3 linked regions of the Solanum lycopersicum genome follow. The protein of the gene in region 2 interacts with the protein of the main gene of each other region in a pairwise test. Links are inferred from orthologs where the notes say so. Each region holds a gene or a part of one and is shown on either strand. Other genes may lie near its edges.

The links.
Region 1: the proteins of protein SUPPRESSOR OF PHYA-105 1-like (region 2) and CRY2 interact in a two-hybrid assay, tested with the Arabidopsis thaliana proteins (4 studies listed by BioGRID, with this or other methods). The link is inferred for Solanum lycopersicum from reciprocal best matches to the Arabidopsis thaliana genes SPA1 and CRY2.
Region 3: the proteins of protein SUPPRESSOR OF PHYA-105 1-like (region 2) and CRY1A interact in a two-hybrid assay, tested with the Arabidopsis thaliana proteins (3 studies listed by BioGRID). The link is inferred for Solanum lycopersicum from reciprocal best matches to the Arabidopsis thaliana genes SPA1 and CRY1.

The regions. Positions count from the first base shown.
Region 1 is NC_090808.1:67,119,116-67,129,505, reverse strand, and holds CRY2 (cryptochrome 2), read left to right. Parts: upstream 1-4,825; 5' UTR 4,826-4,957; coding exon 4,958-5,270; intron 5,271-5,885; coding exon 5,886-6,107; intron 6,108-6,222; coding exon 6,223-6,929; intron 6,930-7,304; coding exon 7,305-7,970; 3' UTR 7,971-7,989; intron 7,990-8,126; exon of another isoform or gene 8,127-8,170; 3' UTR 8,171-8,485; downstream 8,486-10,390. Other genes in the region: actin-depolymerizing factor, read left to right, coding at 268-533, 2,150-2,300; phosphoenolpyruvate carboxylase kinase 1, read left to right, coding at 9,666-10,028, 10,198-10,390.
Region 2 is NC_090809.1:4,263,973-4,274,293, reverse strand, and holds the start of protein SUPPRESSOR OF PHYA-105 1-like, read right to left. Parts: upstream 6,005-10,321; 5' UTR 5,670-6,004; intron 4,439-5,669; 5' UTR 4,369-4,438; coding exon 3,019-4,368; intron 1,687-3,018; coding exon 1,529-1,686; intron 386-1,528; coding exon 1-385. UniProt on the Arabidopsis thaliana protein: Controls normal photoperiodic flowering and regulates circadian rhythms. Required for suppression of photomorphogenesis in dark-grown seedlings and for normal elongation growth of adult plants.
Region 3 is NC_090803.1:61,978,192-61,988,321, forward strand, and holds CRY1A (cryptochrome 1), read left to right. Parts: upstream 1-4,828; 5' UTR 4,829-5,174; coding exon 5,175-5,487; intron 5,488-6,101; coding exon 6,102-6,320; intron 6,321-6,881; coding exon 6,882-7,588; intron 7,589-8,186; coding exon 8,187-8,983; coding exon of another isoform or gene 8,984-8,987; intron 8,988-9,437; coding exon 9,438-9,441; 3' UTR 9,442-9,908; downstream 9,909-10,130.

The sequences.
Region 1 (10,390 bases), on a different chromosome or scaffold from region 2:
TTTTTTGTTTGAACTTGAGATCTGTGGGCTCTCAACCACTTCATTGACCTTTGGGTGCGATTCTTCCGTATTTAGAGACTTCATTCTTTAATTTTCTTCATTTGACTTCTGGAGGGATTTGATGAAACGAAATTCAGTAGAGGGCCAGTGTGTTATATATATGTGTTTCATCTTTCTAACCGTACAAACTACTCAGTACAATTTTTGTTCCATTATGCCTGTGGTTCTCTTTAGAGCAAATTTATTGAACATGTGTTATGCTTCTAGACAAATGCATCCTCTGGCATGGGGGTTGCTGATCAAAGCAAAGCTACTTATATGGAACTGCAAAGGAAGAAGGTGCATCGATATGTGATATTTATGATTGATGAGAAGAAAAATGAGGTTGTGGTTGAGAAAACTGGAGGTCCAGCTGAGAGCTATGATGATTTCACTGCAGCTCTTCCTGAGAATGACTGCCGATATGCAGTATACGATTATGACTTCGTGACATCTGACAACTGCCAAAAGAGCAAAATTTTCTTCTTTGCCTGGTAAGTTATAATTCCATCTTGAACTTGCATAACTGGATTTTTATCAAAGAGATGCGTGCACCTTATATTCTAGATAGTTAAGACTCTTTATGATTTCATATGCTTAAACTGTCCTCTGTGAATGATGCTGCATTATTCAGCAGTCTAGAACAGGGACTCCATTTTCCAAAAGAAAACACGGGAGGAGTATTGGCTAGCTGTTTTATCATAACTTCAGTCTATATGTGCGGGGGGAATTTTTGCTCTCATTTATGAATGTTGGTTCTAAATTATTTACAATGCTGTCAAGTCACCACATTAATGAATTTCATAGAGCAGGCACATTCGGATTTACAAGTATCAAGCTTTAGTGTCAAACCAATTGAGTGAGTGATATGCGAGTAATGTGGAATAGTGGATGGATAGTTTTTCTCCTTTATGGAATATAACTAGCCAATGACGATGTCAATTGCAATTATTATGGTAGCATTCTCAGGGAGTGTCTGTGATGGCTGAAACAATTGAGTTAATCGTAGAGAGAGTAAGAGGTCAGGAGACCATTTGTGTTATTATGTATGTGGCTTAGGTTTGCAAGAAGGACACTTTTGTGAAGTAAAGTCGACAGCTGTTGTGGTCAGATACCTGAGGTACTCGTGAAGTGAACGTCAATGTCTTGAGAAAATGTTATAGTACTGAGAAAGCGAGAATAGCCATATGAGTAGAACTTGCATGCACATATTGTGAAAAGGTGGAAAACTGACCAGCAAAGGAATTGCTGATGCTACGAGTAACCATATCTTTTTAGAGAATACTTTGCAGTCGAGACAAATCGAGGTGAAGAATAGTTGGGTTCAGGGTCTTTAAGAATTCATTTTTCCTATAACTAGAGTGTGTTGTTTTGTGCCTAGCATATCATTGTAAGAAATTTTTTTCTAGAGGTTTGTTAGGTATGCATCACTCTTTCTGCAGTGAACTTTAAGACCCTGCATAATTATATTTAGAAGTTTTAGGAGGATGAAGAAATTCCCCATGTATTGGGTAGACTATACGGCAGTGTTTTGAGTTAATGATAATTTTGTGACAAAAGTTCTTGTGATAAGGTCTGAAGATTTATGGAAATTATCCTTCGCGTTATGGGGATTGCGGAGTGATTATATTTCCGTCAGTAGAAGAGACTAATTCTTTGGCTAATTTTGGATTTTCATTCGAGTCTTGGCATGTGTCTAAGGATTGTTCTATATTGGTTTTGGGTTAGACCAAGTTCCATTTGAAGTTATTTATTTATCTACTTTAGTTCTTTTAATATCCCGTCTGTTGTGTACTCGCAATACATCCTTTCGAGAATATGAAATTTTCTCCCTTCTTAGATCCGTGAAGCAGTGTTGTATCTAAAATAATAAATTCTTATCTTCTTATTGCATATTAAAGTCCTTGGCCCTTCTTCTCCTCGACAAGACAAACTAAAACATAACAAGAAAACACGACGGAAATGAAGGGATGTCTTCAGTAGGAAAATGTTGTTCAAAAGTAGTGCATTTTTGGAGAGTTCGAACAACATTGAATTTTTACTTTGGGAAATCATTTCATCGGATTAGTTTAATTATGAAAGAAGTGATATTCTAATCCATCCTTTTCAGGTCTCCATCTGTTTCCCGAATCCGATCGAAGATGCTGTATGCGACATCTAAGGACAGGTTCAGGAGGGAGCTGCAAGGCATACACTATGAGATTCAAGCTACTGACCCTACTGAAGTAGAACTTGAAGTGCTCAAAGAACGCGCTTACTGATTGATCAAACATCCTACTATGAAACAACCATTCATAATATTTCTGTGTAATCGCGTCTTACAAGACTCGATCTACTTAACTATGACATAAATAACTCGATGCTTGGGTTGCTGATTACCGGACGACTCATGATAGTTAGTATATCATGTTTTCTGGTTATGAGCTCGCTCATTCTCATGATGCTTCCTAGTCGAGAAACGAGTATGGTGTTCTGTATGTGAATGGTTATCAACTTCTCTATGTCTACGCAATGAATATTATGTGTTATTAGTATCTGACTGATAAATTTCTGTTGTTCTTTTCCTGTCTATCTGTTTGGGAGATGGTTAAATAGATCTTTAGTTGAACCTACAGCGCGTTTTTTGGTCGCTTATACAAGCCATGTACTGCGAAGATTCACCATAAATTGACTAGTTTATGCTTTATTTATCAAGATATTAGATTGTCGTTAACATAAATTTTTAAATCGTAGTTTAAAAGGTCTATATGTTATATTGTTGCGAGAGAAATATAAGGAGGGCACTCATACAACAATTATTGTAACAAAATCAACAGGCAAAAATCTGAACTACATAAAGCAAAATAAATTGGTAAGATTATGTACAACATGTCTGGAAATTAATTGTGTAATGATGGCAACAGTATTGTTTTCTCTAAATATAAAAAAACTACTGTTTTGCTATTATTAGAGGGACTTGGTTTTAGTGAAAATATTATAAATTAAGGGGCTAACTTCCAAAAGAAAATTATGTTAGCATTTGACTTTCATTTTCCCATGTGTAAATAGCTCAATCTTATCTACTTAGATTATCATAAAATCATAATTTTCTGTGATATAATTATATGAAAAAGTCGAAGTTGATCCTGATATGATTAGTGATTACTGATTTATCGTATGGTAAGATATCAAAAAATTATTTTAAAACATTGAGTTGATTTGATATTATAATAATATTATATTTTAAAAATTAAAAATAAATTTATTTATCGTATCATATCTATCTCTAGATTCTTCGAAACACATCTGATATGAAATTGGATGGAAAATATTTTCAATCATGCACTTACGTACACATCACAATGTTGTCATTTAGAATACTTATGTCATAAGACAATAATTATATTAAAAAAAAGAATGTCATAGTAGAAAAGCAAAAGAATTGACTTTTAAATGAACTTATTTCTATATGAATTTGAACACAAATTGTATCTAGATATAAATTAAATAAACTTGTAAAACACCAAATTTTGCATAAATTTGATTTTCTACAACTTCAAATTATTCCTTCAAACATAAAAAGATGCAAAGTAGTACTCTCAAATATGTATTCTCATGTAGTATGCAAAAATGCATAGGAGTTTAAGGTATAATTTCTCATGAGCAAAATCATGAGAATATAATAAACAGAACTTTTTTAAGATTCTTTTATTAGGATTTAGAGAATACCATACTTTAAAAGATGTGATATACATAATATATCTTTATAATCAATAGTATATATTTTTATGATTCGAATCAGTAACATTTATGTGACACGAAAATAACTCTACCATTACTTCAAAGACTTCCTAAAAAAAAGTAGGCATAAATCTTGATGGTAGATACTATAATTAGTATGAAATCAAATCTTAAAAGTTTTGTATAAAGTTGAATATTTTACTAAGCTATTAATCATATGATATTTTATTTTATTTTTCATTTTGCTGTTATTGGTCTTGTGGTGGTCCTGCAGATTACATTTTTTAGGATTATTATTCTTCTAAAGAGCTGCTGCCTTTGGACTCTTGTCTTTGAGGCCATTCCACTTGATCACATGAAGTCTAATCTTTTACTACTTACTATCTTTTTCCCTTTTTTGCATCTCACAAGATTTTAATACTCCATGTGGGATGTTCCCTAATGTTGTTCTTGGATTTTGTCTTATCTGATCTATACTATCTTGGTTAAACACAATCTTGATACTAAATTTCAGTAGTAAATCTCTTATTGGTTCTCTTATGACATTTTCTGGTGGAATTATTGGTATGGGTGAGATTGATCTTTGATTTCTTGAGTATTAGTGGTGGTTTTCTTTACTTGGGGTTTTAAAAAAGTATGATTTTTCACTAAGTTTGATGGTTTTCTTGGGAATATGATGAGAAATTGGAGTGAGTTTTGAGTAAAGATTGGATTTTTATGATGTTATGAGATTTGGAGTGAAGATATTTGTTGGGGTTTGAAAATTTTTTGTGAAATTGATCTTGGTTTTTGGCAAAATATGATTTTTAACTAAGTATGCTAGTTTTCTTGGGGATATGATGAAAAGTTGGACTGAATTTTGAGTAAAGATTGGATTTTTATGATGTTTTGAGCTTTGGGGTGAGCTGAAGTGAAGTTGTTTCTTGGGGATTGTTTGGATTTGTCCAACTTTGTGAGAATCTTGGTTTCTTGAGTATTAGTATTGGTTGGTTTTAGTTGGGGTTTGATAAGATAGGATTTTAAACTTAAGTATGCTAGTTTTTTTGGGAATATGATGAGAATTTGGACTAAGTTTTGAGCAAAGATTGAATTTTTATCATATTTTGAGATTTGGAGTGAAGAGTTGAAGTGAAGTATTTGTTGGGGGTTGTTTGGTTTTGTCCATTTTGTGGGATCTGTGGAAACTGACTAGTTGGAAATGGAGAGCAATTACAAGACAATTGTGTGGTTTAGGAGGGATTTGAGGATTGAGGATAATCCAGCTTTAGCTGCTGCTGCTAGAAATGGAAGTGTTTTACCGGTGTTTATTTGGTGTCCGAAGGAAGAAGGGCAATTTTATCCCGGTAGAGTTTCAAGATGGTGGCTGAAGCAATCTCTGATTCACTTGAAACAGTCTTTGAAATCTCTTGGGGCTGAACTTGTGTTGATGAAAGCTCAGAGTACACTTTCTGCTCTCACGGAGTGTGTCGATGCTGTTGGAGCAACAAAAGTTGTGTATAATCATCTATATGGTTTGTAATAACTTTCCTTTGGCCTTCACTGTTTGAGTTACTGTTCTATATCTCTGGAGAAAGTGTCGTGTTATTGCTAATATGTGTTGTCAGCTAATGTTATGGATCTAACTGTCCTAATAAACAAGCTCCAATTAGCTTTATTTCTTGTTCTTGTTAGCGTGGTAGAATATACAACAACACACCTAATGTAATCCCACAAGGGAGGTCTGGTAGCGTGATATAATATGGAAGACTATAAATAGAGGGTCAATACACCGCTTATATGTTCATACAAACATATACGTATGTATGTGTGTGTTTGTGTGAAATTTGAAGTATATATGGCTATAGATATTCGGTATTGATCTGATGTTCTGGTATCAATAGTGATACGTCTTATCTTTGCTATAACACATGCTGCACCGTTTAGTTTTAATAGAATTGTATAGAGTTCACTTGGTATATTTTCAACCAAACAAACATAAGATCATTCGAAGTTTATTGCATAACTCATAGAACCTTTCTAAAATGAATTCCTAGTAGGCCAAATGGTACTTGAATATTTGAGTTCCATGTGCCCGGTATCTGATTTTGAGGAAGTACTTACATGATCAATTTTCGGGTTTGATTTAGATCCTGTTTCACTTGTTCGTGACCACAATATCAAGCAAAAGTTGGGGGATCTTGGCATATCTGTTCAGAGCTACAACGGGGACTTACTGAATGAACCATGGGAAGTTTACGATGATGATGGCAAAGTTTTTACAACTTTTGATGCATACTGGGAGAAGTCATTAAGTATACAGAACGAACCTGTTTCACAACTTCCTCCTTGGAGATTAACTCAAGCTGCAGGTACGTTTGAGACCCCGTAACCTCCTGGTCAAATGACAACAATTTTACTAGTTACGCCAATGATCCCATTCTTGTTTTACATTAACTTGATGATTTTCATTTCTCTCATTGACAGGATCAGTTAAAATGTGTTCAGTTGAGGAGTTGGGACTGGAAAACGAGTCAGAAAAATCTAGTAATGCATTACTAGGGAAAGGATGGGCACCAGGTTGGAGCAATGCAGACAAGGCCTTAACCGAATTTGTAGAGAGCAATCTACTCGCGTACTCAAAGGATAGGTTGAGAGTCGGGGGAAATTCTACATCCCTTTTGTCTCCTTATCTCCACTTTGGAGAAGTAAGTGTGAGGAAAGTTTTCAATAGTGTACGCTTGAAGCAGATACTTTGGACCAAAGAAGGGAACTCTGTTGGAAAAGACAGTGCTACTATTTACCTTAGAGCTATTGGACTGCGAGAGTATTCTCGTTATATCTGTTTTAATTTCCCATTTACTCATGAAAGGTCGTTACTGAACAACCTGAGGTTTTTCCCTTGGAATGCTGATCAAGCCCATTTTAAGGCTTGGCGACAGGGACGGACTGGTTATCCATTAGTCGATGCAGGAATGAGGGAGCTTTGGGCAACGGGATGGGTTCATAATAAAATAAGAGTGATTGTGTCAAGTTTCTTTGTCAAGTTTTTACTTCTGCCATGGCAATGGGGGATGAAATACTTCTGGGACACACTCTTGGACGCGGATTTAGAAAGTGACATAATTGGTTGGCAATACATCTCTGGTAGCTTGCCCGATGGTCATGAACTTGAGCGCCTCGATAACCCAGAGGTATGTTATGTTGCTGATGTAAATGTCATAGTAGATGATGTTTCTTGCCATGGCTTTGTTTTTTCTATTATTTTTATGGCACAACCACAATAGAAGTTACGAGTTCAGCAGAATCCAATAGCTTTGACTAAACTCTATGTTCAATTGTTCATAAACTTTAAATCCTGGATCCGCCTCTATCAAGAGACTGCATAATCATGCCAAACTTAAGAAAACATACTTTTCTACTAGACATTTTCGACTCTATTTATGAAGGACTTTTATCGATATGGAGAAAGAAAACTCTTGCATACCTAGTAAAAAGCATGATGTATTCTCGGGACATTTAGTTGATGAGTCGCGAGCTTATTTAAGTTTCATCAACTCTTCATGCAGGTTCAAGGATTCAATTATGATCCGGAGGGCGAATATGTGAGACATTGGCTACCTGAGCTAGCAAGAATGCCGGCTGAGTGGATCCATCATCCTTGGGATGCACCACTTAATGTGCTCAAAGCTGCAGGGGTGGAACTCGGAATGAATTATCCGAACCCCATAATTGATGTAGATGTTGCGAGGGATCGTTTAATGCAAGCTATAATTATCATGAGAGAAAAAGAAGCAGCTGTGAATACTTCACATGCAAATGGAACTGTTGAAGTTGTGTTTGATAACTCGGAAAATGTTGGAGATTCAGCCAGTATTCCAAAGGACGACGTTGTAAAGGGAAAGGAGCCTTGCCCGAGCAGTTCATCTTATGATCAAAGGGTGCCATCAATGCAAAATGTAGGCACTTATAGAAAGAGACCAAAGCCCGAAGAGGAAACAAAGAAGCTCAATGATAACAAGCTTAGCTACAAGAACGAAAGGATCAAAATGTCAAACGTGGACGGTGACTTGTGCTCTACTGCAGAATCCTCTTCTATGAAAAAACAGATGACCGTCAGCAGAAACTCATTCTCTGTACCTCGAACAATTACCATGTCTCACGACAGAAAATCCTTTGATGACGAAGCATCATCACATGTGAAGCTACAAAAGGAAGAAGAGATTGACACATAAATCAACTCGTGCAAAAATGGTAAGACGCAAACACCCTAAGCTTGAGTTTTCGTTGTCTAATTTATGTTTCCATTCAAAACAGGAGAGCGTAGCTACATAAATATACTTGCATTTTTTCAAAATTCACTTCAATCACTCGTCTCGTCTCTGTTCCAGTTTCAATCATCATGACCGGACCCTGTCTTCTTCTCTATTTGCAGAAGCTACAACGCGATGATTCCCTCACCATCTCCAAACATCTGATAGTTGAATCAACATATGCAGTGGAATGACGATATCCTGTTGAACATTTCTTCGTGTATATATAACTTTTTCTTAATCGTAGCAAGGTTTGTAGTTTGTTTAACATAGTACGCGATAGAACTCATCGTGAAGCAGCTCAGATTCATGGTTTAATCTCTGCTTTGTTTAGTTACATATATAGACCATGCATATGTAATCTTGAATATGATTTGCTTTTTCTTGTATTTTCATAGTAATAAAAGATGAAAATAGGTCATCTAGTTTTGAGAAAATGATAACATATCCTACATTTTGGGTATAAATCGTTGGATTCGGAGCCTAAATGGTACAAAATATTAACAAAAATTCTAAAATGGTATATAAAATTTTATATTAATCAAAACGGTAAAATCGCTGGAACAACAGCGATTTACTCTACCGAAAACCTAACAACTATTTTAGACCCCAAATATAGTTCTTAACATGGACTTGTTTTCTCCAAATATGTTTTGTTTCTTTATTTTGGAAAGAAAGTTGTTTTATGCATTCCATAATTTTTGTTTCTTAATGATTCAAAGAAGAATTTGAAGTAATACTTTTGGTTTGTGATTGTACTTTGTTTATTACTTACAATTACTTCCTTTATCTTATTACAATTACTTGCTTTTATTTTGAAATAATTACATGTATTTTGCTTTTAAAAAGTTTCATTTGATTGTTTTTTATTTCTCAAGAAAATTAAAAATAAAAAACATTGTACTATGTTTATGCTTTTGTTCGAGAATTTGTTATTTTCTCTCCTCACTTTTACTTGTTTTGGACGTTACACACTATTTAAGAAATAATTATATACTCTTCTTAGTTATAGTAAAACTGGTCAAATTTTGACTTAACACATTTATCAAGAAAATAATATTATTGATATAACGAATTTACTATTTTATCTCTATTAATTACTCCCTCCGTCCTATATTGTTTGTCATGATTTTTATTTTTAGAGTCAAACTATAAAAACTTCGACTAACATTTTAAGATGTATTTTTTCATCATATTAATATGCAAAAAATTGTAATTTACAGTAATTTTCATATAGTTTTAGAACATTTAATTTTTTTTGTTTAAAATATCGAATCAATATGATCTAATTTACCTTTGAAAATTAATCAAATTGACTTTTGATAAGCGCAATATGACAAACAATTTCGAACGGAGGAAGTAATGGAATTCTAAATATATCTATTCAATTCATTTTCTTAAAAAGATTAACAACTCAATATTAATAAACTAGGAAAAATTATGAAATATTTGCTATTCATTATGTGTACAAATAATAATGGAAAAAAGTATATAAAAAAAAAAGGCAGATGGCTAATTTTGATTGGTCAGAAAAGATTCCAAAAGAATATTCCACTCTCAGTACTGGGGTACTATATAAGTCCATCAGAAACAGAAATTTGAGTGTTTACGCAAACGATGAAGACAGAAAACGTTATGAGCGAGGAACTGAGGCGAGATTATCGTGTGTGTGAGGAAATAGGGAGAGGACGATTCGGCGTCGTTTTCAAGTGTTACTCGCCGGAAACCGGCCAGAATTTCGCCGTGAAATCTATCAACAAGCTTCTCATCGCCGATGACTCAATCGACCGTCAATGCCTCTACAACGAAGCTAAGATCATGCATTTGGTTTCCCCTAATCCTCACATCGTTAGTATCGCCGATGTCTGTGAAGACGATACGTACCTCGATATCGTTCTCGAGCTCTGCAACTCCTCAGATCTCTTCCAACGACTCTCTACTCAACGACTGTTGTCCGAGTCTGATGCCATTGCAGTCATGGTACTCGTACTCTTTCAGTAGGGGAAAATGATCTGTGAATTTTAGTGCATTTGTGTTTTTGTAGATTCAAATTAAATGATTTTTACTAATATTTCTAAAATGTAGTACTAATTTGTCTAATTGATGATTATAGCAAATTGATAATTTTTGGATCAACTGTTTGTTTTAGGTTCCATTGATGGAGGCAATAGCGCATTGTCACCGGCTTGGCGTAGCGCACCGGGATATCAAGCCGGAGAACATTCTGTTTAACGAATGGAACGATCTGAAATTAGCTGATTTTGGCTCGGCTCAGTGTTTCCGTGAAGGCGAGCTGATGAGCGGAGTGGTAGGGACGCCGTATTACGTGGCGCCGGAGGTTT
Region 2 (10,321 bases):
GCAGAAGTATGCACTTTCAAGCTGAGAAATATTCTTCATCAGCTTTTCATTGCGCATATTTGGAATTGAAAACGATCTAGAAATAGAGTCAGCGGAATTGAGATGTTTTAAGTAGGATCCTTGCCGCATATTATTGAAGTCAGTTTCCACCCAATCTGAATGTCTAAGGACCTCCCTTTTCTCAACATCCTTGATATCAGCCTCTAGGCACTCTATTCTTTGTAATAACTTGGAGGTATCATTCTGTTTTTCCTCCTGCAGTGAAACTAGGAAATAGAGCAAGACGTCTGAATCAGGGTCATCATCCTTCTCAATGAATGATGGGACACCATCTATTTTACATACTTCTTCAGCTCCAATAATTAATTCAGACTGTAGGATTTCCCTACAAAGATAAGTTGTATTGTGAATGTGATTACACATCAAACAAATTAACTTGAGGATATTTACAAATTTACTGTGCCTGAGCTTCTAGCAATTAGAGAAGTTAAAACTCAGTACGACAAAGCTAGAAGGTTTACAGCACAAAAGTGAAATATCTATTGATCAAAAGGACAAATTGCAGGCTGGAAGTCATACTAACTATTAAAGAACAATAACCAATTTCAGAAAATGTCTTTTCCCTCAATTCTGATGAGTGGCGGACAGTTTGCTATTTAGTTCCACCATCAAAGAAATGCAACTCTTCCATGTCTAAAAGCTATCCCACTTAAGACCCAAAAATGGTTATACTAAATCTTAAAGCTTGGCAGGGAGCAAGGTGCATTTACTGCATATGCAAGTTCCCATAGAGATGACAGCAGGATTAGACAGTACACAACTTGAGATTATGAACACATTATACGAATAACATCAAACTCATTCCATGCTAAAATGATGTTATTAGAGTACCAGCTCTAACCTAGTGGGGCGTGATATCTCCTACTCCCTTTGTTTCAATTTATGTGAAGGGCACGGAAAAAAAGGGATGACTTTTGAAACTTTGGGTCATAACATTTGTTTGGTTATAAGACTTTAGAAACTTGTGTTCTTAAACATGCCATAACATTTGTGTGAATATAAAATTGTGTCACTAAGGCTAAAATGAGAAATTTAAGTTAAATTGTTTGCATATTTAGATAGAGGTCATTCTTTTTTTAATAGACTAGGAAGGACACAGGGTCACATAAACTGGAACATAGGGAGCATGTAACAAGGTGACAAGAGAAGTGGCTAAGATGCCTCAAGCCCCAAAGAACTCCACCATCTCTATTTATTATCGAGAAGTCACTCTCGAACACAACCAGTTTCTAACCCGAAACGGAAAATAGCATAATAGTTACAACAATATCAAACTACGAGGACTCTGTGATTGCCAACAACTTAAAATGCATTGCATTCACTCAGAGCATCAGAATGTTTTCCATATACCCTATTTTAGGATACCGTATTGCTGGCTGTCTTACAGGTATGTCAACATTGACTTTTTCAGAAAAGCCCCAAATAGCAGAAAATAATATTGCACAACAAATTGGAAACATAACAATACCTTGTTGTTGGACGAGAAGAAGGCACAGGATGAAGCAGCAAAAAGCAAAAGCCAACTTCCTTGGGATTTTGACAAAGGAAATTTGGAGGGAGAATGCGACTTTGCAAATTCAACATGGCTGTGGAATGTGCTGCAGGTGATTCGAAACAGCAGAGCAACTAAAAGAAACAACATGAATTAGTAAGAGTAAAGATAATTTATCTCAGCCCTTTGGCAAAGTGCATTGTGAAACAAAACATCAGTTCCCACACCCAATATAATAGAATCACAACGAAAAAATCATTAACTTAGCCAGATTGTGTACAGCTACAATTATTTCCCCAGAGTTAAAATAAGAAATATTGAAAATTAACAAAAGAAGCCACAAAGGAGAACAGATAAGGGGTGCAGCTGAAATCAAGATATATACTCAATGCTAAAAGAATTGAGCATATGCAACACCGATTCATTGCATTAATGACTGTTCATCAAATTCTAGAGAAGAACAACAGGCTCCTTGGAAAAGATTTGGGAGGTTCCCTCACCTGCCTTCTCCATATTCAACAATCTGAGAGAGCAATGGAGCATCTGAGGGATAAATTTCAAAATCTATTTAAAAAAGACAAGCATATCCAGACTGGAATCTAGTACGAAGATCCAGTCGAGTGGGTCAGCAAAAGTTTCATAAAAGCATATGATTCAATAAATCTTAATTATATTGATTTTAATTCAGTTTCTTAAAAGCTCAAGAAGCAAAATCAGGGAAGTGCTACAGGGAGACAGAGTATGTGATTCATCAGAAAAACTTCCCTTCTTTTTTTGGTGTTCTCTTTCTTCTTTTGTTTGGGATGTATGTATCTTCTTCTTTTTGGTGAGGAAGGTAATTGTATTACACAAGCAGCACTTAGTCGGTGCCGAAGTGTGTATAGGTGAGCACAAAGCAAAAGAAAAATCACTTACCAATCTTATAGAAATTTTAAGAGGCTAAATATGGATTCTGCTTCATTTAAAAATTCTTCTTAGACTAAAAAGAAAATAGAAGTTCAAAGTTAAACTTGATCTGTTGGAATGAGTTGGCTTTTATCTTTCAAAACATCAGTTCCTTTCTTTCTAAACAACAGTGAATGTGTTTATTTTAGTTACACCAACATTTGAGATCATCTTAAAATCTGCTTCAACATAAATTCAACATCTAAGAATTGATTTTGCATCATTTAAAACTCCTCCGTATACCAAAAACAGAACAAAAGTATACAATAAAACTTGATTTGTTGGATTGTATTTTCCATATCTTCAAAATATCTAGTGTTTCATTCCCTCCTCATTGTCCACCATCTATTTAAATGTGATTAATATTATATTGTGACTCTTGCTTAATATGGATCGGACTGGTGCAAACTGAACCTAAGTTCGTGTCTAAGAGGAGAGACAAATGAGCAGAAGGAAAAAGGAAGAGAATTTGTCAGTGGTTTAAAGTAAAATGATTATGAACCCAGCAATTGATTACCCACCTCAAAGAAAAGAACCCCGAGACTGTAGATATTAGACGATGCTAGGCTTTCGTGATGGAGTTCTTCAGGACAAGTGTACCACTTCTTTTCTAATTGATTAATATCAGACTCCAGTAGACACCCTGCCTGAAATGATGTGCCTTCATCACGAGAACAAGAACGAGCATTGCTTTCAGGCTGCTGTCTAATCAAGCCCACGTCCACATTGACCTTCTGTAGCTTTATACCCAAGTTACTATTAGCATGCATTTCCATGTCGGATGGCCTTTTCCCATTAGTATTCCGGCTCACAGCATACATGGAGTCTATCTGGACAGATGAACCAATATATTTAACACCATTAGGTGACAGTAAAATGAAACAGGAAGGCCGTATATCCTGGAATGCATTTCCTTCAGAGTGAGCAATATCAATTAACTTCACAATCTGCCGGAATATGTGAATCCTCTCAGCTTTGTTTATCTGTGATCCCGTCGAGTTTAACCACTCTCTCAAGGTAAATCCATTGTAAGTTGAAGTGGGTCTTTGGTGATCGCTACGACTGAAAGATGCTTGATTAGAATTAGCACCTTGCTTTAAAAAAACATCAGATGATACCATTCCTGTGGAGGCTTGCTCGAAGTCATTCTTATTCTGCAGAGTAGAGGCAATATGAACTTCTTTATGAAGTGCAGGTCCTTTTGGTAAAACATCTTTGGTTTTAAGAGATCGGTTAGCAAAAAAATGAGAAAAGCTAGAAGTGGATAAAAGTTTTGATTGACTACTTCCCGGAAGTAATCTATTTCTTGGAATAATTAGGTTATGGTCTTCTGTTGATTGGGAAGACTCTGCATTAGAGCCTCCTTTGATATCTTTGTCGGATGCTTGCTTCAGCATTTTCAGCGCAAGTAAATTTATTCTTGGCAACTCCTTGGAACTTAATTGCTGAACAGCCTTGTCCGTGGATGAAGGATCTCCATCTCCCTTCAAACTTCTAGAGCCAGACCCCAATTGATAGAAACGTTGCCACTGAATTTGTGGTTTCTGAATGGTTTTTTGACTATTGGAGCATCTAAGAGAAGCTGGCTCAGAAATTTTGTAACTACACAACTTTTCAAGAGTGAGCCTTGAACTATTCAATGAGTAAGAGCTTGTACCGTGGAGCTGAGGCCCCTTCATGGACGTTACATTTCTGTTCATTCCATCACTCTCCAACATCCCTGAACTGGCAGAAGTTGATCCCTCTGGCAACTCATGACTGGTAGATGTACACTTCCCCATTGATGGTTCACCAGAATCACACTCCCTCGTTCTAGATAGCACATTCGCACCTACATCATTTGCATCTGCTTCCTCCTTTGACTTGTCCATATCATTCCAAAGGACTCTTTCAATTAAATAACCAGCTGCATTCACCTATGTTTACCCCTTGAAGGACTAGCTGAAATAAAACAAAGTACTTTGTAGTTAGACAGATTTCTACGTCTTTAACTTCGTTTTTTTATACTAAGCATGTGGAATTTCGAGGTACTAAGGAAGAAGGGAGTAAAAAAATCTCTCAAAATCTTTCCTCCTTCACCTAGTCAAGTTGGTCGAAGCACGTCTTCCAGAACTAAGATTTACAACAAAATACTCAATGTGATCCGACAAGTGGTGTCTAGCGGAGGGTGGGGTGTACACAACCTTACTCCTATATTCTGAAGATAGGGAGATTGTTTCTAATAGACCTTCGGCTCAAGTAAAGCATATAAATAACAAATATGCAAAGTAAATACAGTATTGAACATATCAATAATAGCACTACCAAAGAAGAGAGAGAAAAATATCATATGTTCATAATAAAGAACTATCCTAGCTTCGATTACTTAGACTTTCTATGAATGCTCATGTATTAAAAGTAAATCCACAACACATTCAGGGTACTCATACTACACTTCTGCCCCCTATAGATTGCAGTTGAGTTATCGCCGTTGATTTAGAGTCGTGCGGAGCAGCTCGGAGTTTCAGAGATTAGGGTGAGCTCCTGGCGTCTAGAGCTACCGGTTTCCATATGTTTTGCTAGGCTTAGTCTTTATATTGTATTCAGAGATTAGTCTGTACTTGTCTTGTATTTGTGAAAGCCTTGTACTCCTATTTTGGATTAGATGCTCAACTAACTGATGGCAGGACTTGGGATGGTTCCTGTATTGTTTTTGTTGATTATCCTTTCTCTACTTTGTTCTAAGCTCTTACTTCTTGTTGTTGGCTTCCACTTGCTAGTCGCCTAGTCCATTGCTTATCGCTTCGGGCTAAGGGTTAAGCTTACTTACTGGTGCAGTGTAGTAGGTGCCATCATGACCCGAGAACATTGGATCGTGACAGTTTGTGGGGTCTGGAGATCGCGTAGGATGTAGGCAAGTTACCCTTACCTAGGAGGCTATTTCATAACCACAACCTAACAAACATAATTGATAAAAGGGATAAAAGTAATCATAGATTTTCATTTCAGCATGAAACCAAAATCAAGAATAACGCAATTATGATATAATCACAGTTTGGGAAAAACAAACTCAATAAGGTGAAAACACTATAACCAAACAAAGAAATCCAAGACTTAAAAACAAACTAAAAAAAGTTCAATTTTTTTTACCAAATCTTAAATCACAGACACATAAAGAAATCAAAAGACTAACCTGAAACTGAAATGGGGAAAAAAGGGTAGTCTCTCCAAGAATCTGTCTAGCTCACTCATCACTATTCAAGATTCTGAAAAAAAAAACAATACTTTTCATTTGTTCAACACCCCAACTGTGCAATTATTTGTGCATTAATTTACTCTATAGATATGATGATTTATGAATCAGTCAGTCACCCCACTTGGAAAAAAAAAATTGTTTTCGCCAAATGATGTCTGTGAAAAGTGGAGCAATTCAGATATTGTTTTCGCCGGAATTGTGCTTTGTTAAAGGGCTGTTTGGCCATTAATTTATAAAATTTGAAAAAAAAGAAAAAACAAAACCTCTTATGAAAGTGATTCATTTACTTCTCTGTGCTTATATACCTTTATCCTCTAACGAAATAAAAAAAAATATGTTATTTTTTTATTTTAAAAAAAAATTGTTCATCTAGTGGTATATTTTACTTTTAATACGTATTTTTTTTTGTTGACAAAATGGAGTTGTTCTGATGATAAGTAATCCTCACTTTCAATACGAAGATTGCGAGTTCGTATTTTTTTAAACTTTTATATTCAGAAAATAATTTGCATTTTATTATTCTGATAGTTAAACTTATTTTTTATTTTTCACGATTATTTTATAAATTTATTATAGATACCCAAAAAAAATCCCAAACACAAACTAAACTACCATATATCCATAAAAATAGTTTTAAATTACAATTACCCGCAAAACTTGGTAGGCGTTTGGGGCGCTTTAGCCATGTGTTTTCATCACATGGCAGTGTTTTCGGACACGTAATTTTATGCTGATTTTATTTTATGATTTAGTAAAATGAAATCTCTAATTTCTTAAAAGTCATAATTTTTAGGAATTTTAAATAAAAATATTAATTCGCGAGTTTTTATTTTGTAAAAATAACTCACATTTATTTTATACCCATTTGTTTCATCTGTAAACAAAATTTCTAATTCATATCATTATTTTTTAAACCTTTTATATCTCATATACAAATTATTCTCGTCAATACAAATTTATTCTTCAAAACAATTCTTAATTTAACGTTTATGTTCCCCAAATCATTATTTTTTAATCAAATTTATTACTACTTCATTCAAATCAATGTTTAATAATAACAAATAATCACCATTATATTGAGTGGATAAGACTAACCATGCTGGGATTAATTGTAAAAAAAATTTTCTTAGCTACTAACAATTTGAACACTATAATTTATGTTCAATTTTATTTTTTGTTGAATTAAGGTTTAATAAATAAATATTGTTCTTCTTTAAGAATAATTTTGTAATAATGTATTACGCGATTTTATAAGTTTTGTTTATTTGGTAAGATTATATAAATAATTGGGGATAATTTTTTATACTTTTACTATTTACGGAGTTTTTATATTTATGAGAAAACATAAAACATAAAAAGTCAAAATTGTATGTCCTAACAAAATTTCAACTTCATCTCATAATTTCATATAATGATTTCAAATCATGAATTTATATGGTATGACCAAATGGGCCTTTAAAATCATGATTTTGAAATTTCAAATCATGATTTGAGATTTTCGAAATACCAAAATTGACCATGAGTTTATATTTTATATAAACAACCCGATATATATATCTGCTAACCATTTATTGCATATGTAAATAAAATGTGTAATGCATATCATTACTTTTAAAATCATTTATATCTCAAATAATGAGTATTTTCACTAACATAAAATTTATTATTATTTCAAATCAATTTATATTTTACCATTTATATTCACCAAATTCATTATTTTTAATCAAATATATTTACCAACCAAGTTGACCAACAAATGGCTCAAAATAACAATGTTGGTTTGTCTTCTAAGTCATATGAAGCATAAATGCAAGTTCAATGTGAGAAGATTGTTGAGTCCGAAGCCTAAAGGGCAAAAAAAATTTGATAAAAATTCCAAAAGGGTACATTAATATTTTTTTAACCAAAAGAGTAAAATCACTACACTATTTTTTTTAAAGAATATCGCTACAGGTGCAACGATTTTGGCCAAAAAAGTCCCGTTGACAGAACCATTGTTCTTTATAGGTATGTAAGGCGTCTCAAAGTGTTGGACTTGTTAGCCCTCACGCTACATCTCAATTTAGTCAAGAAATTGTCACATCAAAAGAATCTATTCGCAATTTTTATATTGAGTTCGATTATTCAATAATTGAGACTTTTTTATTCTTCTATTTTGTGAATATTATTGTATTGTTCATGCTTAGTATCACATTAAGCCTATTGATTTGATAAATTTATGTTTCTAAAGGGATCATATGAAACTTTTCATGTCCGTGTTGGGTTTGAGAATCAAGAAGAGTATAGGAGAATTTTTTCAATTCTAAACTAAGTCGGGGTCCTAATTTAAGCTTGACAATTTGTCGGGGTACTAGGGAAGGGCCTGGGCCATGATAGTGTTAAGGCTGAACTTCTGAAGTTTAAACCATGGGGCAACGTGTCAGCATTGCATCAAGGCCTCACTTTTGATGTTCAAGCCCTGGGGCGACGCACCAGTAGTGTGCAAAGGCCTGATTTATGAAGTTCAAGCCTGGGGAGATGCGCTAGCAGTGCCAAGGCCTGACTTCTGAATTTAAGGGTCTAGCACATTGCGCCAACAATATGCCAAGGATTTTTGGATCAATCTTTCCTTATTTCATCCATACGTGTTCCTCTAAGTTGGGTCCACGTTTTCCTTCTTTGTATTAGCTCTATAGGCTTCATTTACCTGTGAAAAAATTCTTGCATATCTTAATCACATATCTTAATATATATTCAAAACTAGAGTGAGTTTAAGAGAGAAGTTTGAGAGCTTTTATTTAGAATCTTTTACACAATAATAATCTTAACCTAATTTCTGAGAAAGCAAAGATGAGTTGATTTTGAGTTCTAGATTTCCTGATTGTTTTTTAAATTTTATTTCGACTATTGGTTTTCCATTTTGTTGTTGAGATCTTTGAGTTGATTCGTTCATGTCTATATTAATTAGCATGAACACTATTTCGAGTTAGAAATTTTGACAATCTTTTAAAGTCAATTTTTATAGTTTAAGCTGAGTTTTTAAGAAAGTAAAGAGGAGTTTGAGAAAGAGTATAGGGTAACTAAGTATTCTCAATTGTTTAAATTTTACATGAAGTAAGAGAGTATTATTTTGAGAAAAGAAAAACTTTGATTTCTAAATGATTTTATGAGTTTCAAGATATTTTAGAGTGGTATCCTCTTTAAAGAAGAGAGTTTGAGCAACTATCTCAAACTAGAGAAAGAGTATGTTTTACAAAATTGAGCATGAGTATGTATATTACTGGGAGTAGTATTGAACAATAATATGAGGATGAGTTCAGACAACTCAAAAGTCAAAATCCTCATAAACCATGTATGATAACATTGGTAAAATATCATACTTTATAATGAATCCTTATAACTAAGTGGATCCACTTAGTTGAGGTGTTCTATACTCCAACAAGGTATAGGACAATTTTGGAAGCGTGGGTGAGACGTTGTGTCATGATTAACTCATAGTAATAGTTGTTCGTTAGAGAATCTCACAAATAAGAGTACAGAGTAATTTATTGTACTTTTTATACACTCTTGAGTTAATACATTGTATTTTTATGAAGTTCTAAACATTCCATCTCTTATGATTTCTTTTGTATTGGAGTTGAGTTGCGGTGAATATTTTTTCAATCTTATCAGTTCAGTTATTTATACATTTATTTTTTCTTACATACTCATACATTCAATATACTAATGTCATTCGACATGAATCTTATTATGATGCAGATATGAGTGTTATGGTCATCAACATACGTTTTGTTGAGATCATTTTGCACTTCAGATAGTTTGGGTGAGCTTCCTAGCATTCCGAGGGAGTTCATCTTTATTTTCAAGTTAGGGTTTTGAGATATTGTGGATCTTGTCATGAAATCAATCTTGAGTAATAAAGTCTTCATAGATAGACAGAGTTGAGGAGTCTTTCAGAATTCACTATTCCTTGGGATGTATTTGCAAACTATTTTACTTATGTTATTGAGTATTTTGCAAACAGTTTGAGTTGAGTTTTTACTTTGAAATTAAATGTTCAGAAAATTGTGTTTTAAGGGTCTTTTATCAATATGTACTCAGGTAGGACAAGGTTCACTATGGGACCATTAATTAATGATTCTCGAGTGTCACACATGTCTAGGATGTAAGCTCGATTGGAAAAAAGGAAGTTTTCCGATCCTACAGAATTATTAATGTGAAGGCCTTTTCTTCGAAAGGAGACCCGAGAAAGAAAGAGTTATGCTATTGACCTATCTCTTTTTTCATAGGCATTACAAATATTAGTAATGATTTTCGAATGTCGATTGCAACTAGAGTGTAGGCTCGGATTGTCACAGATCTTGATTTGGATGTTGTTTTTACTGGCCTCTGATAGCCAGCTATGTCCTCCTGATGTGGTAAGATAATTAGTTAGTATTGCTTATATGTTTGTCATAATTAGTTCATTATAATTAATTGAGAAACACTTATACCCGAAATTTCAGAGATACACTTATACGATACTAAGGTTCGATTACCCCCTGAACTTATTTTATAAGTAATTTTCTACCCATTTTCGGCCTACGTGACACTATCTTGAAAAAAAAGTC
Region 3 (10,130 bases), on a different chromosome or scaffold from region 2:
TATGTTTGAATTTCAAGGGTCAAATAATTTAATTTTGATGATAATTTTTTTATATTTTTCGAAATAAAATTGATTAGGAAACTACATAAAATACTACTATAATTTACCTTCTTGAACCCGATAATCATATATCGGCTAATCTAGCTTTTCCATCCATTTGGACTAACAAGGGTACTATGGAAATATTCTGTTGTTCATCGCACTACGTTTTTAAGCTGTTAAAATAATTTATAATTTAAAATATTTATATATATGAAAATATTAATGTCAATGCAAAATATATTTAAATTTCAATATCCGAAGAATATCACGTAAACTGAAACTGAGAAAACCTAAAGAGGCAACCTTTTTAGCTTGTTAGGAGAAATTGGAAAAACAAAAAGGGGATTGACAAAAGTATATGCCACGAAAAATTGGACGGGGCTAAAAAAGAAAATAACACACACTTTAAGAATCCACAAATATAGCTTGATTTTGATACAAAAATTATACTATATGAAGTTGAAGTTGATCTGACTGTGAATGGGAGCAAATGTCCAATATTTTGACGATTAGAATAAAAAATAATATCAAATGATAACAAAGAATAAAGTCTTCTATTCTACGTAGTTTAAAAATATTTTTACATCTTTTTCGATTAAAACTAAAATATTATATTTATTTATCTTCTCACTCCATATATCATCATATATAATTTGCAATTTCTCATGTAACTCTTATTGTATATTTTTTTTTATCTTCTCATTCCATATATCATCACAATTTGCAATTTCTCATACACCTATTATTTTTAGTTTTCCATTGCTAATAAAAATGTGACTAAAATATGTAAACAAAGCATATGTGCTGGCTCTTTTTTGAAGAAGTCTGGTATGAGTGAGTGTCACACTCACATCACTGGTTTGCCTCAAAGATGGAAAAATTATTAATAGCACTTACATATATGGTAATAGCCTAATAGGGACTGGGAGACAGTTCCATACGTACATGTCAACTCACAAAAAGAACCACCTTAATTATTAGTCGAGTCAATTCCTAAATGGTCGTTCAAGTTAAAAGAATTGTCTTAAAATATCATTTATGTTTCATTTAAAATCAAAATATCACTCAACTATCACTAATTTGCAATTTCTCATATACCTAATATTTAGGAAATTGACTCATTATTAGTGCAAATCACATTCTGATCACTTATTGCTATTAGGATATTATAGGCTATTAGGCAGAGTAAGGATTTTCATTTTTGCAAGTTTTAAATTTTATAATGATAATTTTAAGTGTTAATTAGTGTCATTTTAAACTTAGTGTGTACTCTGTGTGAAAAAAGTTATTTTTTAATTTTGTCGTGTTTGATTGGTTTAAATGTTTTTCAAGTTCACTAAATTTCTTTCAATTTAATGAGAATGACTTTTTATAAAAAGTATGGAAAACATTTTTCTTCCAACATTACTATCCGACCTCAACTCGGGACCCGATTCCTAACCTTAATTTGAATTTCAACTCTTGATTAGGGATCCGACTTGATACATGATCCCAACATAGGACTCAACTATCGCCCCCAACCATACACATGATTGAACTCCTCACCCTCTTTTCCAAGACCTGACTCATGATCTCGATTTGGAAAAAGACTCCAAACCTTGACTCGAACCCCTCAACCCCTTTTCAGGACCTAACTCATGATCACGATTTGGAAAAAGACTCCAAAGTCTAACTTAAGATCTAATTTACGATCATGATATTGGGACCCTCCGACATGTCCCCAACCCTAAATCAAACCAAAACCTGAATATCTCGTGACTTGGCTCCTGACCTCAACCTGAGACTCTACTCCTGACTCCAACCCTAACTCGAGATCCAACCTAGGTCCCTCCTTCTAACCTTAACCCATACAAGAGATTAGACTTCCAACCCCGATTCAAGATCCAAAATTTGACCATGACTCCAATTAGGAACAATACTCCCAATCCTAACCGTAAAATCGATCTTGACCCTAATATCATAACCTTGACTCGGCCCAAGATCAAACCCCGAACCCCACCTCAATATTAGGATCTGATTATATATTGACTCTAATTTGAGACCCTAGCTACTCCTAAGTCCAACCTCAATTCCCGACCCCCCGATCCAATATGAATCATGACCCTGATAAAAATTCATTATCAGACTCCCGACCTTGACCCAACCCAAGACCAGAATCCTAACCTCGACCTTGAACTTATCTGATCAAACAAAATATAATTAAATTTTATCTCAAACTTACTGTCTGTTTGGATGGGCTATTAAGTTGTCAGTTTTTAACTTGTGAGAGTAAGAACAACCTAAAATAAGTTTGAACTTAAAATTAGGGTGACCCCTACTTTTTTTCAACTTAAAAATCATTCTACTTTGACCAAGTAGATTACTTTTTTACCCTTATTTCTTTTAAGCAATTCTCAAATTCTTTCGTGTGATGTATTCAAATTACTATATATTTTTTGAGATTTAAAATAAATTGCACATTTAAAATTAACTTAAGTATTAAGTTATTGAAATTGAATTAAAATATAAAATAATTTTATTTTAATTTTTCTTTTATTTCTTAGATTAATCAACTTTTTATTATGTTAACAGTTTTAAGGGCATTGCATATGTTTTGAATAAAAAAAAGTTTTTAACAACACTTATTTGTCTTACACATCAAAAACTTTTTTTCAACTGCAATTATTCAAACACATAACTATTTATTTTTAAAATAATTTTCCGCACTTTCAAAAAGTTACCTTTTTAAACCAATCCAAACAAATTCTTAGTCTTGAATATCCTATTTTATCTCATCGAACTTTGATATTATTTTATCCCATTTCTAAACTGTAATAAATTAATATCCAAAGATTATAGTCCTCATCAAACTTGATGTTATTTTATTCCATTTTTTAGGTGGAAAAAATCAATAGAAAGACTATAATTCCACAATAATTTAGTACGCAAACCAAAAGAAAACTTACACGTATAGAGTTGTATTCTTAACATTCTTTAGGAGTAGTAAACAAAAGAAAACATTGCTATTGTTGCACCTCTCTTTACAGCAATGAGAATTAACTCCCAGTACTTACGTATATCGCTCGTTTGGTACGAGAGATAAGCATAAATAGTTTTGGGATAAAAAAAGTTATGAAATAAAATTTAAATATCTTGTTTGATTAATATTTTTGGGGTAACTTATCCCATCATTTATCATATAGTGATATAATAAATTATCCCAAAATAACTAATCCCAAAAAAATTATTTTGAAATAACTAATTTTCAATCAAACGGCACGATTTATGATAGAAGTAGGTAACAACATAATTTGCTCAAGAGAAAGTGACATGTACTCCTGTCCCCTAGTGTCATGTAATTTGCACATTTAAATAGGTTTGCAGCAGTAAATATATGTGCCCTTTTAATTTCAATTATACTAGTGGTAAGTAACCTTCTATATAGGAGTACCATTTCGCTGTCGGTGGTGGAATAAGAAATTTCACGAAGGGTGTCTAGGTGCTAAAGTAAAAAAAAAGTTGCTATTAGTTAGATTCGAACGAATAATCACTTTTTAAGCTCACGAGCCTTTACTCTTTTAAGACATCTAAAATTACTAGGCTACATCATGATGTTGTGTCAAGGATATCCAAAATATGTTATTTAGTCACTTTGTTTATCATTTTATTTATATATACAGTATATTTTTCCGATAAGAGTGTCCAATTGACACCTTGACATAAGAGTGGCTACGCTACTGCCCGCTACGAAGCGCTTCCCCCTCTCTTACACCCTAAATAGACCATATGCTACTTGAATTTATCATAATCGAACTCTAATAAAGATCTCATTTAGTTGGCGAGAGTTTGATTTCTGAGGAACTCTCTTCTCATCTCACCTACCCTCTTACTGAAAATTAACCATAAGAGGAGCATACAAGAGCATGTGAAAATATGAGTAAAGTTAGGGGTGGTGGGGGTGCCTACATTACAAGTGACTTTAAATAGCAACACAGATGAATGAATGAGAATCTAATACCTCCATTCATGAAAAAGGCCCACACACCCTTTAGAAAAATACCAAATCCAAATTAGTCACCACTCTATACTCTATCCCTTCTCTTACCCATGCTTCATGTCCCCTTCCAACTTCCCATTTTTCTCTTACACAATCCCAACTTGGTCGGAAAAACTAAATTAAAATAATATTATAAAATTGTCCAAACACTATATATTATAATGGGGGTAACAAAATTTGTTGTCTAGAATCAGATTCTACCAAAAAAGGTTAAGTGAATCAAACTTTGCCCCCTTTTACCTGTATAAAAGCTGGCAAAACTTTGATATATCATTAGGCAAAAGTGTATATATGTTAACAAACATAGACCTTTATTAAACCGTCGATTTTCTCTAACAAATAAAGAATATTTTTGGTTCGATAAACTTAAATAGTGTTATTTTTGAAAGATGGTAAAATATTTTAGTGCACTTTAATAGTGTCATTTCATTTCTTGATGTCACATTGTGTAATAAAAAACATGAGCTACTCAAATCACATTCAATTTGCAATGATTCAAGAAAATCAAACATTTAATTTTTTGACTTTATTATACCTAAGAAAGCTAATGTTGAATTTAACAAGAATTTTCCACCCTGTCATCAAAGAGAGAGAGAGAGGGGATTAGAGAAGGCACTAGAGATAGAGGCTTGGTGGAATTTTGTTTCCTTCTTAGGATAAGAAAGAAAGAAAGATATAAAAATAAAATCTTGAAAAAACATAAAGTTGTGGATGCAAATCTCCCATAAGTTCTCATGTTACCCCACCACCATAACCAATCACCCTCAATCTCACTTTCTCCTCCCTCTTTCTCTGGAGAGGTTTGTTTTTTTGGGTGGACAATGCCTATAGTAACTTCACAAGAATAGCATCTCATCATTCATCAAAGAATAACATTTGGGGTTTGTTAAAGTTAGGTTCTTTACTAGAATTTGCCTAAAAAAAATCATCTTTGTAATCTTTATCTCCTCAGTGAAAGCTACAGGGAACAGTCAAAGTATAGATAAGATTAACCCCAATATACTTCTGTCTAAGAAAGACTCAATAACATGGTGTTTACATAGTAAGAGAGAAAAATAGAGAGAAAAAGACTAGTCTTTGGTGTTGTTGAAGGAAGATGTCAGGTGGTGGTTGTAGCATAGTATGGTTTAGAAGGGATCTGAGAGTGGAAGATAACCCTGCTTTGGCTGCTGGAGTTAGAGCAGGGGCAGTTATTGCTGTGTTTATTTATGCTCCTGAAGAAGAAGGGCATTATTATCCTGGTAGAGTTTCAAGATGGTGGCTTAAGCAGAGTTTGGCTCATCTTGATTCATCTTTGAAGAGTCTTGGAACCTCCCTTATTACAAAGAGATCTACTGATAGTATTTCTTCTCTTCTTGAAGTTGTTAAATCTACTGGTGCTACTCAGCTCTTCTTCAATCATTTGTATGGTTAGTACTTGTTTCCATTTTTTTCTGTGGTTTTCTTGCTTCTTTAAATAAAAGATAGAGCACCACTGTTTTACTTCCTTTTTTTGGCTTTCCTTTGTAATCATTTTGTTTGATTTGATTATTCTTAATGTTGTTTCAAAAGTTATTAGTACTATATTGTTGGGATGGCTTAATTGGGATTGGTGCTTCCTATATGTCCTTTTAAGAATAAGATATTGAGTTGTCTTCTGGTAAACATAATAAATTATTAGCATGTGTCTTCCTCATATAACTAAAGAATTTTAAGTGCAATACTTTTTGCTATGCTCAATCCTCAGTGCTTGTAGCATTCTCTGGCTACTAATTTGTTTAGTGCCTGAATTAGAACTACAGTAATCTGGATTTGTTGTACTAAACATATTCCATATCCTTATTATTTGATTAATAGAAGCAGAAAGGGTGTTGCTTGACATTTGATCTGATCATGGTTGAATGGATAATTGCTAATAGATATGCATGGCTTTTATTTTAAGCATCTCTTTACAGTACAAGGATTTATAAGATGCATAGTTTTGCTCAGCCAATTTCATCCACTACCTTATCCTGACCAACACCTTTGACTTCTTTGGCTTTAGATCCTATTTCACTTGTGAGAGATCATCGCACAAAAGAAATCTTAACAGCTCAAGGTATATCAGTGCGTTCCTTTAATGCTGATTTGCTCTATGAACCATGGGAAGTTAATGACGATGAAGGTCGCCCGTTCACAACATTTTCTGCTTTTTGGGAGAAATGCCTTAGCATGCCTTATGATCCAGAAGCTCCACTTCTTCCTCCCAAAAGGATTATATCTGGTTTGTTCTCATCTGAGCTTCTCCATATCTTGTTGGCTTTCTGGATAAATTTCTATTATTTTTTGTACATATTTTTGTAACATAAGGTGCTTAGGGTAGAAGGTTAGTAGGGCATGAAGGGTCTTTCAGAAACAACCTCTCTACCTCCACAATGTAGGGGTAATATCCGCGTATATTCTACCGCCGCTTGTAGGATTATACTGGGTATGTTGTTGTCGTGCTTGGCTTAGTGTTACGTTCCACCAATGATGCACACAAATTAGGAGATCTCCCTCCAGGTAATAGATATATTAATTGTCAGATAAAAATAATGTCATTGCACCGTAATGAACGTGTTGCTACACTTTAAGCTCGGAGATCACTACATGGTGTATAATGTGAATGTTGCAGGTATTCAAGTCCTTCAAAAGTGGAAAGGTGATAATGAACATTTAGATGTTTGAGCTGTCACTAACAAGCTAAGGGCTAAAACAAATTCCTAGGATGGTGTTAATGTACTTATAGGAGCACTGGTTTAGATTTTAATTTAGTTTTTACATGGATTCATGTGCAAACTTTCAGGTGATGCATCAAGATGCCCTTCAGACAACTTGGTATTTGAAGATGAATCAGAGAAAGGAAGCAATGCACTTCTTGCTCGGGCATGGTCACCTGGCTGGAGTAATGCTGATAAAGCACTAACTACTTTCGTTAATGGACCATTACTTGAGTACTCGCAGAACCGTCGGAAAGCTGATAGTGCAACAACATCCTTTCTATCTCCACATTTACATTTTGGGGAAGTCAGTGTTCGTAAGGTATTCCATTTTGTTCGCATCAAGCAAGTTCTCTGGGCCAATGAAGGAAATAAAGCTGGTGAAGAGAGTGTTAATTTGTTCCTTAAGTCCATTGGGCTGAGGGAGTACTCAAGATACATGAGTTTTAATCATCCTTATAGCCATGAAAGGCCCCTTCTTGGTCACCTAAGGTACTTCCCATGGGTAGTGGATGAAGGCTACTTTAAGGCATGGAGACAAGGTAGAACAGGTTATCCTTTGGTTGATGCTGGTATGAGAGAGTTATGGGCAACTGGTTGGCTTCATGATCGTATCCGAGTCGTGGTATCTAGTTTCTTTGTGAAGGTTCTGCAGCTTCCATGGAGGTGGGGGATGAAGTATTTTTGGGACACATTGTTAGATGCAGATCTTGAGAGTGATGCTCTTGGTTGGCAATATATCTCTGGTACCCTACCTGATGGTCGTGAGCTTGATCGGATTGATAATCCACAGGTATGTTAGGGTAATCTTTGATGAGAATCTCTTCTTTCAATTGGAATTTTTCATAACTTCATAGTTGAAATTCCTTTTCTTCTATTTCTCTAACATAGTAGAGTTGCTGGAACACCAATTATAGACTACTACCGTAATTTTTTTTAATAACTTTACGACTATTCTACACTTCGAATGGTTATAGCCTTCCATGTTGCGGTAAGTGTTATTTTCAGATTGTAAGTTAGTTTCCAGGCACTGACTTGCTAGTAGACATTGCATGAACATCTCATGGGCCTCAATCTTCTTACAGAAAGTGCTAAAGCTTAAGATGGAATGTGTGTGTGAATGCCTAATTGCAAATTCTGCTTCTTTTATATCCTGAGATATTACTTATTAGTACAGTGACTGTGAGCTTCTTTTGGTATTAAATTGATATGCGAGTCTTTTCAATACAAGAAACCCTTCCTTCTGTTTCTCTTGTTTTTTCATGTAAAACAAAAGTGAGGCTGCAGATTTTGCTATATATATCCCTTTTTCCGTTTCTGTTCTTGTTTCTTCATGTGAATTTTCTTGGTAAAGGCTGAATAGTTATTTGAACCTGTTCTCTTTCTGGCAGTTTGTGGGATACAAGTGTGACCCTCATGGGGAATATGTCCGGCGGTGGCTTCCTGAACTTGCTAGGCTGCCCACCGAATGGATACACCATCCATGGAATGCACCAGAATCTGTGCTTGAAGCTGCTGGCATTGAGCTGGGTTCCAATTATCCTCTTCCTATAGTTGAAATTGATTCAGCAAAAGTTAGACTAGAACAAGCCCTATCACAAATGTGGCAGAATGATGCAGCTGCAAGAGCTGCGATTGAGAATGGTATGGAAGAAGGACATGGTGACTCTGCTGACTCCCCAATAGCATTTCCTCAGGCCATGCATATGGAAATGGACCATGAACCAGTCAGGAACAACCCTGTAATAGTTACTGTTCGACGCTATGAAGATCAAATGGTGCCAAGCATGACGTCATCTTTGTTCAGAGCTGAAGATGAAGAGAACTCCGTGGACATTAGGAATTCAGTTGTGGAAAGTAGGGCAGAAGTTCCAACAGACATCAATGTAGCTGAAGTTCATAGGAGAGACACGCGTGACCAAGCCGTCATGCAAACTGCTCGAACCAATGCTACCCCACATTTTAATTTTGCGGTAGGTAGGAGGAATTCTGAAGATTCAACAGCAGAATCTTCCAGTAGTACTAGAGAAAGGGATGGGGGTGTAGTGCCTACATGGTCTCCCTCAAGTAGTAACTATTCGGACCAATATGTTGGTGATGATAATGGTATTGGGACCAGTTCATCTTACTTGCAAAGGCATCCACAATCTCACCAGCTAATGAACTGGCAGCGGCTTTCTCAAACAGGGTAAGCTACGTGAGTTTCTTGAATAATCAGTAGAAGAAGACATTCATCCAAAAGAGATGAAAACTAGGAAATGGACAAATTTGAACATTCCAGTTTGAATATAAGCATTAGTGTTGCATCTAGCACAAACAAACATGACTACTCATGAATGGCACTAGTCACAGATTCACGGATAACATTTCTCATGTCCTTCATATTTCCTGTATGTCATGGTTAGCTGGTGAAAAAGCATTGCAAATTGCATAAAATTTTAGGCCAGTGAGAAGTCCTACATGAAAAGTCTGATTTAAACAAACGCAAGCAAATATGAATTGTGCTTCCTTTAAACTAACTGCAGACACATCTGTATACAAATATGGTGCATATTTCCATTTTTAAGGCCTTAGGCTCAAGACGACCACCTTGAAATTTCCAGGAAATGTCTTATCCTTTGGCTTGTTTAACTTGCTTACAGGTGATCATTTATGTGGAGTTACGATAGCAACAAGGCGGAGAAGCAAGTGGCTAATACAGACATTTGGCTCAGCACATTTAGTACAGCATTCATCTACTCTTTCTCTCATAGTCCTGACCTGATCAGCCATCTTTGTGTCTATATCTCTAATTGATCAGGTGGTTCGTCTGGATTTTCATCCTCATCTGTCGGGCATCCCCATTTACCTATTATACCATATATGTGTCTCTGCTGTATAGTATAGAAGTTTTTCATAAGGCCAAATAAGTGTTAGAAAGAGGTTGCAGTCCTCTGTCAAGCTCACACTTGTGCCTTTTGTTTTTCCTTCTCTTTTCTGCTACTTACATTTTGATGGCAATAACGATTATCTGAAGTCCTGGAACTAATTAGATTTTTGTGGATATCATAGTTTCAAACTCTGTTTGACGGATGTACATGTGGTTTAAGCAGCTTCATCTCATATTTTTGTTATGGGAACATTGTCATTATTCTATAAGATTTCTAGTTTGAACATTTTCATTGTTCTGCTTGGCAGTTGTGTCTGTTCAGCTGAAAGCTGTAAGTTGAGTTGTTAACATTCCCTGTTTGGTCTTGTGTGTGCGTGTTTGTGTGTGTATCTTATCAATGCATCAGAAGATATTCGGGTACTCGAACGAGCAGTTCTTATAGTAAGTTGTGTTACACTAGAACAAG